Linked DNA regions of Sus scrofa. The protein of the gene in region 1 interacts with the protein of each later gene in a pairwise test. Links are inferred from orthologs where the notes say so. Each region holds a gene or a part of one and is shown in the gene's direction. Other genes may lie near its edges.

Evidence for each region.
Region 2: the proteins of RBBP8 (region 1) and RB1 interact in a two-hybrid assay, tested with the Homo sapiens proteins (2 studies listed by BioGRID). The link is inferred for Sus scrofa from reciprocal best matches to the Homo sapiens genes RBBP8 and RB1.
Region 3: the proteins of RBBP8 (region 1) and RBL1 interact in a two-hybrid assay, tested with the Homo sapiens proteins (2 studies listed by BioGRID and IntAct). The link is inferred for Sus scrofa from reciprocal best matches to the Homo sapiens genes RBBP8 and RBL1.

The regions. Positions count from the first base shown.
Region 1 is NC_010448.4:107,922,741-107,926,495, forward strand, and holds the start of RBBP8 (DNA endonuclease RBBP8), read left to right. Parts: upstream 1-1,228; 5' UTR 1,229-1,410; intron 1,411-3,755. UniProt on the Homo sapiens protein: Endonuclease that cooperates with the MRE11-RAD50-NBN (MRN) complex in DNA-end resection, the first step of double-strand break (DSB) repair through the homologous recombination (HR) pathway.
Region 2 is NC_010453.5:19,188,484-19,192,138, reverse strand, and holds part of RB1 (retinoblastoma-associated protein), read left to right. Parts: intron 1-591; coding exon 592-734; intron 735-1,409; coding exon 1,410-1,459; intron 1,460-3,507; coding exon 3,508-3,581; 3' UTR 3,582-3,655. UniProt on the Homo sapiens protein: Tumor suppressor that is a key regulator of the G1/S transition of the cell cycle. The hypophosphorylated form binds transcription regulators of the E2F family, preventing transcription of E2F-responsive genes.
Region 3 is NC_010459.5:40,272,612-40,276,266, reverse strand, and holds part of RBL1 (retinoblastoma-like protein 1), read left to right. Parts: intron 1-1,141; coding exon 1,142-1,275; intron 1,276-3,655. UniProt on the Homo sapiens protein: Key regulator of entry into cell division. Directly involved in heterochromatin formation by maintaining overall chromatin structure and, in particular, that of constitutive heterochromatin by stabilizing histone methylation.

The DNA.
Region 1 (3,755 bases):
GCATCTTGAAATTAATATATAGTTTACTTAATTAGGTACCAAAATAGAAAAGAAGCTAAACATGGAGGCTGAGCCTAGGTCCCTGTAACAACTACAGCAGGATCACCTGAAGTATTGGGGTAACATCCCAGACCTACTGAATCAGTATCTCAGGAGGTGAGGTCCAATAATCTGTGTTCTTAATCAACACTTCAGATTATATTTAACAGGAAAGCTGGAGAATCTCCATCAGTAGATAGGAAAGACTGTTTTTAAATGCATAAATATCATGAGAGTAAGAAAAAAATCTCACATGATCTCCCTTAATACAAATAAATTTCTGTCAAAATGTGATCTTGTGTTGCTCACTTCCTCCATCCAAAAGATTAGAAGACACACTTAGGTGGCAACTTGGACACTGATCCCATCTCTTACTAAATTTTCCTTTTTTCACCATTATAATCCTGTACCTAGCACAGTTTGTGGCACACAGTCATTTTCAAGAATTTGTGTTCAACTGATGAATATCCAAAGTAAAACCTCTCCAGGTTGTCCTAGTATGTAGAAATAGGCGTTTTTCCAATTTTAGACTGGAATGGTATGAAGATCATTTGAGTACAAGGAAGATAACACACCCAGGCAAAAGTCTGGTCAACCCACATCTTGTTTTCCTCCCTCTAGAAAGGGTTCCTTCAAACTCTCAGGGCTACTGCCCTTGTGGGGAATATCGACATCCTCCCTGCCACTTCAAAGCTGAGCAAGACCAAGTGGACTAGTGGAAAGGTAAGGTATTATGGATTCTTCTTCATTGTAATCTTCTAGAGGCTTTAGTCTGCAAAGCCCTGGAGTACATTTAAAAATGGATTACCTGCCCCTGAGGATGGTAGACACTCAAGTTATCTACAATGAGAGGTTTATAACAATGGACTCTTGCTGTACCTGACACAGATCTACCCCTCCCACTGGAACTCTGAATTATTTTGCTGGAGGCTACAACATTCTGAGCAGTTTGTTGGGAGTTGACGGGAGGTGGGGATAACTTACCTGGTACAAGCTTAGCAGAGCTGAGCCGCTGCAGCTTGTTGGGCTAGCCTTTGATGCAGACTGGTTGGACGGGTTCTGGATCTACAGAAGAACCGGTCTGACTGGCCTGCTGTGCCAACATATTCTGGTTTGATTCCATGTTCCACAGACGGTAGAAACCTGCCCAGCCAGTTAAATGAAAGGCATATTAGGTTATCCATTGCAAACCTTATATAGCTTAGATGCAGCAGAACTCTTCCACACAGCAGTGGTGTCTAGCAATCTAGCGTGGTCCAGAGAGGTGTCTCCCACTGATTTACTGTGTACGTTCATAGCTGTAGGGAAAGTCAGCAGTGAAACACCTGCTGCTTTTGACCAAGAGCAGAAGTTTTCTAAGTAAATTGAAGGGTAAGTTAATGTATTTTTTTATCTTTCTCAATTTTCTAAGCACTTTCAGAAGGTTAATTAAGAAATGATGTTTAAGATAATCTATTTTTAACACGGTAGTACCTGCATTCTATCTTTTATATAAAGCTGGTTAGATACTGTCTTATAATATTTGTACATATGTTCATTGATTTGTTTAGATAAAGGTTATTTGGTATATAATACACTTCTGCTATAAGTCTTTGTAAAATGGGCATGGCTGTAGTCATTAAGAAAAGTGGGTTGAATAATTTTGCTAAATATATTTTACCTATTAATATAATGATTCATCTTAAGCCATCTACTTCTTTGATAACATACTATTATATTTTACAGGCTGTTGCTATATGGTAATGTTTTATATGGCAAATCTAATTGTGGATAAAATAATAATGGCCTTTTTAAGGCATAAAAAATAGTGCTGGCCTGCCTGGTGATCGTTAAGTACTTTAGAAGAACAATTCACAGCAAGAAATGAGGAGTGTGAAAAACAAAGATTGTGGAATCTGGTAACTGATTAACTATTGGAGCTCAAAAGCACTTGCTGAGCTGAATAGAAAGGAATGAAGACAGGTTTTGTCATGCCTATTAGGTCTGAAAACCTTTTTAGGTTAAAGAATATTTGGGTCTTCCTTTAATTTATATTTTAAAATAATTCTTTTCTCTCTCTCTTTCATTGATCCAAATAATTTATTTTAGTAACCTGTTTCATTTAAAATGAAAATTATCAAGCCCTTTAGATTTGTTTTGGCATACCAAATTACCCCCTTAGTTATTAATATTAGATTGAATTGAGTGCACACATCCTCCGGGCATTCAACTTAACGTATCAGCTGACATATGAAATTTATCTGGAAATTAAAATAACTTTTTAAAACAGATTTATACTAAATATTTTCAAGGACTATCTCCAGGCCATCACATGACTTTCCTTGAACTGAGCAATACTAAGGCATCCTTTTCATAGTCCTTATAGAGCCCTCACTTTGTCATTATGTTCAAACTTAAAGGCTATATGTTTCCTTAGAATGCTAATAAAGAATTTTTTTAAAGTGAGGATGAATGTTCAGATGTGATTTCATTTTTTGCAGGGAAACCTTTTGCATGCTGTTTAGTCCTACCCCAAGGCAATTCTGCATAAAACTTCTGATAATCAGCTAAATTTCTAAAAAGCTATGTAATATTGAATCTGCAAAAGTAATGTGCTGATTCAGCATAAACTGTATTCTGACAATTTTTGGAGAATATAGATAAAAAATTTTAGTTGGTTGAGTTTTTCTCTTTTCAATTAATTTTCAAGCCAAATGTAGATATATGTCAACAGAGTACACTTTTACTGTTTAGAGTAAATATATATAGTAATTTAAGATTTTTAAACCTTGCTTAAAATACTGTTTAAATATAAACTTAATTTGGGATTCCAATTTATTCATTAAGGATTTTTTATGCTTATGGTTTTAAGGAAAGCTATTTAGGAACTAGATGTATATATCCATATAAAATTTGTGGGTAAAATTTCAAGTCTAACTACATTTTGGAGAGGGATTCTACATTTTGGAGAGGGATTCTACAGCTATTACCTATCCTTAATAGGATTTCCAGTTTCAAATATATGAATGTCCTATTAAATACTTTCATGTATTTTCCATAAATTAATTCCTTTAAAATACTGATACATTGTGATGTTTTGATTGAAATTAAGAATATATGGATTAATCAATCAAATTAGAAGTCTATGATTGCCTGTGTGTGTATTTTACATAGCCCTGTATTATCTGAGGGCCCAGGTCAAAAAATGATCTAGTCATTTAAAAATCTTTTTATTCCCTAAGTCTAGTTTAGGATGCATTCCTTTGTCTTTATTCCTGGCCACAAAGTTTCATACAATGACTCTTTTTGTCATCCATGCTAGTTTTCTTAACAACTACATAACCTCTTCCCTTCCTGAATATATTCATGTATTTCCTACCAAAAGCACTTAGAATCATGACATTTTGGGCTACAAGGACTCTTTACAAATAACTAATGAATTCAACTTATTTTTTAGTTGAATAAAAAGCCCCCAAATGTCGCTAACTCACTACTATACAAGCTAAGGGTAGAGATGAGACCAGAACATCCCAGGTTCCTAATACCAGCCCGGACTAATATTTTTTTCACTACTCCATGCAGACTCTTCTGAATACTACTTGCAATTTATTCTGTTTACTAAAGGACTTGTAAAAAGGTAAAATTGGGCTATATAAGGTATGTTAAGGAGTATTTGCTTAACCAAGAAATTATTTGCTTTTATATTTTAATCTATATAATTACTGCCCCCAAACCTT
Region 2 (3,655 bases), on another chromosome or scaffold:
GAGACATCGTCTCTAGGGATACTGGATAGACTCAAATGCTTGTTTCTGGGGGGATACTTAATATTTGTAAAACTTTGAGTTAGGATATCAGCAAATACTGTATCAGTGATGGTTTACAATATCTAAGCCACATGACTTGTCCACCTGGTACCCATGAAGTGAGTCCAAAATTATTATTCACTGGACACCTCTCATGCGATTGTGACACCCTCCCTGGCTCTGCTGTGCTCTAAAGGGAATCTGTCAAAGATAATGTTCCTAAAGCTGTTCCAGCTTTAACTGATACTGAGAAGTAACCTAGTTGTTCGTGTAATTAAGTCTGAAAATGAGGAAATAGGACTTCAGAGTTGTTGGTGGAAGAGGAACTGCTGTGTGGGAGGAGACAGGAGGTATTTAATGGGGGCAGTTAGGGAAAAATCTCAAAATCAGAGTAATTGCACCTATTTCTTATTTGGCCCAATAAAACAGAAAATTAAAATGCAGATATTACCTGTCCCGGATTTTTGACCCACCTCAGACTACAATTAGGGGTTGCTAACTACAAAATGCTGGCATTCAATGATTTAAAATAAAGAATTCTGTAATTCGTAGACTTCGGAGAAGTTCCAGAAAATAAATCAGATGGTGTGTAATAGCGACCGTGTGCTCAAAAGAAGTGCTGAAGGAGGCAACCCTCCTAAACCTCTGAAAAAGCTGCGCTTTGACATCGAAGGAGCAGATGAAGCAGATGGAAGGTAGCGGTGGTCTTAGAATGTCTCCCGGGAGCTGAGGGGTTCCCTGCTGCCGGCTTCCACGGTCCCCTCATGCCAACTCATTTGGGAAGGATGGCTGCATCCCAAAGCAAAAAGCACCACGGAAATCTACCAACATTCACTGAAAATATCAGATGTTAAAAATCTGATGGGAGTTCCTGCTGTGGCACAACAGGATGGGCTGTGTCTCTGCAGCGCTGGGACGCGGGTTCAGTCCTCAGCCCGGCACAGTGGGTTGAGGATCCAGCATTGCCACAGCTGCAGCTTGGGTTGCAACTGCAGCTCAGATCTGATCCCTTGCCCAGGAACTCCACATGCCTCAGGGCAGCCAAAAAAGAAAAAAGAAAAAAAAAAGCCTCAATCATTTTCTACAAAACTATTGGTAACATTTTGTCAGCTTTAAAAAAAAAAATTGTTTTTACTAACAGATTTTAAAATGCTTACTCTTGAAAAACACTGTTTTATAAGAACCACTGAAAAATATGTAGGCCCAGAAATTTGTGATATTTATATTTTAGATGCTTGATTTATAAACCTTTGAACTTAAAAGCTACTGATTAAAATAAGGGCATAAAGTTATCAAAAGCACCATAGTTATTGGAAATTTAAGTTTTCCATTTATACATATGAAATATTTTTCATGTTTTAAATCTGCAGTAAACATCTCCCGGGAGAGTCTAAATTTCAACAGAAACTGGCAGAAATGAGTAAGTACTTATTTCACCTAATGCACAGGAACAATTGTTGCAGAAAGCCTTTTCATACTACAAAAGAATAAATTTATACGACCCCTTCAATTAGCAGATTTGTTCATGCATTTAAAATACAGTTCAGTCAAGAATGTGTTATTTACAGCCATCTGGGGAGGAAATGTATGGCACAAGGCAGCCTTCCTCGAACCGACTGTGTGGGAAGACTAAGAAGAGAAACCACACCTTCAGCTTGAATGGCTGCGGTCAGAAAATGTTCTAGGCTGGCAGAACCATAATGAGGAACTCTTGTCTAAGAGTGTTGGATGTCGGGGAAACCTTATAAACCTACCATATGTAAACATCACCTTTTTTCTGATATTACTGAACTTTCCTAATTTGCAAGTTTTAGAACTTAATCGCAAACAAAAGTTTTCCATTACCTGAAATCAGAATTTTGACAAGCAAAATTTTGACCAGGTCATTTTCGCAGTTATAGAGAGTGACAGAAGTTTGGAATGTTAAGGCACATGGGATTCTCTTCTGAGCTCCTCTGAGACTGTAAAGATGAACCCACGCGGAGTAGGTGGAAGGTTCACTCAGAAAAGGATGAAGGTGCCCCTGAGCACTTGGGGCTCCGGCGCTGTCTTCAAGCAGTAGCCACGAGGGCGAGTGTGACCTTTCCTGATAATGTGGTGCCAGCTCCATTAACAGGAAACAGAGACGGGTCTTGGAAAGAAGACAGATATATTGGGGAGATGATAAGAATTAAAACTATCATTCCTAGGTCATAGGACATATCTATACGGACAATATCAATTAAAATGTGACTTTTTAAAAACGGGATTTCCTTCAGTACCTCTCTGTAGATACTAACTTTAAAATATGAAGTAGTTTTTAAAATACTCTTGGTTTTTTAAACCATTTTTTCTAAGTGTATTATTTTGAAGATTACTGTTAAATATACCACAAGTTTAAGTGTTTTGGTTATAAATGAATCTTTTTGGGTTTTACATCAACTGATATATGCCTGTTTTAACTTTCCAGTAGTTGTAGCTTTCCCCAAGCACATGAAAAGAGAGGTGAAGCTTATAACCAAGATCAGGCCTTAAAAACATGTGGAAGCATTTTGGAGCCCACAAATATGCATTTGAAAATGAGCAGAAAGCTGTAAAAACATGTATATTTTCTTATAGAAGGGTTCAGTTGTTGCAGTCAGTACATTTCCCAGTGACACACTTAGCTGTGCTGGTGAATTCCCTCTGCCAGGCTCAAGTTCAGGGCCTTTGTGCAGCTGGAAAATCGGGGAGAGGCAGCAGGGGCTTTGACCCATGAAGCGAAGGAATTCTCCAGGCTGCTCTTCAGCTTTCCTCAAAAAATTGCATTCGGAAAAGATCATCCCACAGGGCTGCGTTGCTCCGAGGGGCAGGGCCGGAAGGGCAGACGTGGCGTCACCGCTTTCTTGCTTTCCCAAGGGTGAATGTTCTTCGTGCTTCTTTAGGAGGAGCTCTTGGCCACCTCTAAAATCAAGTTAAGAATTTTAAAGTAATTTAAAAGCAGCATTCTGGTTTTGTCTGTGCTGTCATGAATGATGTACTTTTAAAACGTCCATGTCGAAATTAAGGGAGCTGTGAGCAGATCTGTGTGCAGTACCTGCAACGCCTCACCCCACACGAGGGAATGCTTAGCTTAGCTCATTCGGAACCAGCTCAGGACTTGTTCTGCTCAAGTGCCAAACTGAACTGCGCGCTCTCGAACCGCGGTCCACAGAGCTGGGCACAGCTGTGTGTGTAAGACCACCTTCTGGTGTACATAAAGAAAATGCTAGAATATTTATCTTAATCTCATCGATTTTTAACACGTGGGCTACATGTGCCTTATGATTTATGTACATATACATAAATACATACATACTTTGGGGGTACATGCCTGGAAAAAAATTTACCGATAAGGATATATGATAACGAAGACAAAATTAGAAGTCTTGTCATGAACATATGTGGCAGCCTTTTCTCAACCGACCCGGCGCCGTCAGCACTTTTAACATCTCTTCCTCTTTTTTCTAGCATCTACTCGAACACGAATGCAAAAGCAGAAAATGAATGACAGCATGGATACCTCGAACAGGGAAGAAAAGTGAGGGCCCCGCGATCTTGGGGGGTGCCCGTACACCTCCGGCTTCGCCCTCAGCCACAGATCTGACTCCAGAACTCT
Region 3 (3,655 bases), on another chromosome or scaffold:
AGCATGTAGCAGCTCGATGTGGGATCTTAGTTCCCAGACCAGGAGTTGAACCTGGGCCACAGCAGTGAAAGCAGTAACCATCAGGGAACTCCCTAGAGTCTGATCTTAAAGAATCTGCATAACAGTATTATGTTGTGCTATGAGATTTATGTCTAGTTCTTAATCCTTATTTCATGTAAAGCTTAACAATGAGGTCATAAAGTCTAGCTTGGATATCTCAACTCTAAAGCAGAGAATTAGGAGTTTTCTTGTGACCAGTGAATTGAGGATCCAGTGTTGTCACTGCAGCAGGCTTGGGTTGTTGCTGTGGCATGGTTCACTCCCTGGCCTAGGAATTTCCACATGCCTCGGGCACAACCAAAAAATAAATAAATAAAAATAAAGCAGAGAATTAGATGTTAAATTCCCAAATGTCATCTTTTTTTTGTAACATTGTAAATTGAAATATCTGCTAAGATAGCCATACTATTTCTTTTCTTTCTTTTTTTTGTCTTTTTAGGGCTGCACCCACAGCATATGGAAGTTCCCAGGCTAGGGATCGAATCGGAGCTGCAGCCACAGCAGCACCCCATCCAAGCTGAATCTTGGAACTACATCACAGCTTGCAGCAAAGCCAGATCCTTAACTCACTGAGTGAGGCCATGGATCTAACCCACATCCTCATGGTTACTAGTTGGGTTTGTTTCCCCTGAGCCACATGTTCTTTTATGTGTATTTAATTTCTTTATGTGTAATTCCCTTACGAACTTTCTGCTCTTCCTTTTTCTGCCAAACGGATTAAAATGGTAGAAAGGAACTTCAGCATCATCAAGGCCATGACTGGTGTTATAAAATCGAGAAAGCTAATGCTGAGAAATTTTAAGAGAACTCTTTCAATAATGTCAGATTTGGGATATAGGTGAGAGATCTTTCTTTCGATTAGTAATGAGTTTAGTGTGTTATGTAGAACATAGTGTAAGGAGTTTTATACCCATTACTGCAGTTAACTAAACATTTTGATCTTGGGCGAATATCTTCAGTTCTCTGGCCTGTTAATACAGGATGAAAATTAGACCAAATAATTCTAAGATCTCTCTTGGTTCTAGAAGTCAGGCATTTTAACATAATATATGCATTTTACTGTTTGTCTTTTGCCTGTCAGGGAGAAGTTATACACTGGTTGGCATGTTCATTATATGTTGCATGCCGCAAAAGCATTATTCCCACGGTTGGAAAGGGTATCATGGAAGGAAATTGTGTTTCACTTACCAGAATACTACGTTCAGCTAAATTAAGGTAAAGCACTTTGACTTTTTAAATACTGCTTTATAAGTCCTAGATTTAATTTCTCTTTATTTTAAATTATTTAACTTCATTCCATTCTAAGCTTATCATATGGATATCTTTTCCCAGTTCTCATATTCTTCCTCGGCCTTTCTTCCTCATCCTCAAATTTATTTATTTATTTTGCTTTTTAGGGCCAGACCCGTGGCTAATGAAGGTTCCCAGGCTAGGGGTCAAATTGGAGTTACAGATGCCAGCCTATGCCACAGGAGGATTCGTTTCTGCTGCACCACAATGAAAACTCCTCTTCCTCAAATTCTAACTTCAGAGACCTCTCTTCTAAATCTTTTTTGGAGTTCCCGTCGTGGCTCAGTGGTTAACGAATCCGACTAGGAACCCTGAGGTTGTGGGTTGGATCCCTGGCCTTGCTCAGTGGGTTAAGGATCTGGTGTTGCTGTGAGCTGTGGTGTAGGTCGCAGACGCAGCTTGGATCTGGCATTTCTGTGGCTGGGTGTAGGCCAGCGGCTACAGCTCCAATTAGACCCCTAGCCTGGGAACCTCCATATGCCTCAGGAGTGGCCCCAGAAAAGACAAAAAAAATCTTTTTTATCTGTAATTCTTTCATTAATACTTTAAATTTGAGAATAATTTAAGCTTCCAGAAAAGTTGCAAAAATAAAACTACAAAGAATATCCATATATATATGCTTGACCGGGATTCACCTTTTATTGACATTTTACCTTACTTGCTAAATCATTTGATCTTTTTCTCTTAAATAGTATTTTTCCTCAACTATTTCAATTTAAGTAGTGTCTACTATAGCCTTTTATCCATAAATATTTCAGCGTGTGTTTCCTTAAATAACTATAGTACAGTTATCAACTTCAACAAAGTTAACATTGATGTAATAATATATAATCCACCATCTCTATTCCAGTTTTTTTAGTTGATCCAGTATCTTTTTTTTTTTTTGCTGCATCTGCAGTATATGGAAGTTTCTGGGCCAGGCATCAAATTTGAGCCACAGCAGTGACAAAGACAAATCCTTAACTACTGGGCTACCAGGGAATTCCTCCAATAATATTCTTTTTTTTTTTTTTTTTTTTTTTTTTGTCTTTTTGCCTTTTCTAGGGCTGCTCCTGCGGCATATGAAGGTTCGCAGGCTAGGGGTCTAATCAGAGCTGTAGCCGTCGGCCTACACCACAGCCACAACAACGTGGGATCTGAGCCACGTCTGCAACCTACACCACAGCTCACGGCAACACTGGATCTTTAACCCACTGAGCAAGGCCAGGGACCGAACCCGCAACCTCATGGTTCTTAGTCGGATTTGTTAACCACTGAGCAATGACGGGAACTCCCAGTAATATTCTTTTTCTTCCCCTTTGTTTGCTGTACCCGTGGTTTCCTGGGCCAGGAATCGAGTCCAAGCCACATCTGTGACCTGTGCCACAACTGCAGCCTGCCAGGGATCAAACTGGCAACACCACAGAGATAAACCAGATCATTAACCCACCTCCCTACAGCGAGAACTCCCAGTAACTTTTTTTTTTTTTTTTTTTTTTGCGTTTTAGGGCCTCACTCATGGCATATGGAAGTTCCCAGACTAGGGGTAGAATCAGAGCTGCAGCTGCCAGCCTATGCCACAACCACAGCAACTTAGGATCTGAGCTGCAGCTGCGACCTCCATTACAGCTCATGGCAATACCAGATCCTTAAGCCACTGAGTGATACCAGGGATCAAACCCTTGTCTTCATGGATACTAGTCAGGTTTGTTTCCACTGTGACACAACGGGAGCTCCTAGTAACATTCTTTATAGGATTTTTTTTTTTTTTTGCCTTTTGCCTTTTCTTGAGCCACTCCTGCGGCATATGGAGGTTCCCAGGCTATGTGTCTAATCAGAGCTGTAGCCGCCGGCCTATGCCAGAACCACAGCAATTCGAGATCCAAGCCAAATCTGCGACCCACACCACAGCTCACAGCAACGCCAGATCCTTAACCCACTGAGCAAGGCCAGGGATCGAACTGCGACCTCATGGTTCCTAGTCGGATTTGTTAACCACTGCACCATGACGGGAACTCCAGGATTTTTTTTTTTTTCCTTAAAAATTAAAAAAAAAAAAAAATTCCATTCTAGTATCAGGTAATGCATTCACTTACTGTGTCTCTTCAGTCTTCTTTAATGAGGAACATTTCCACAGCCTTTATCTTTTATGACGTTGATATTTTTGAGGAGTATAGTTCACAACCACCCTGCCCCCGCTTTTTAATAGATTGTTCCTCGCTTTGGATTTATTTCATGTTTCTTTATGCTTAGATGCAAGTTTTACATTCCCAGATGGAAAACTGCATAAGTGCTTTTGTGTCCTTAGTATTCATATCTTAGAGGT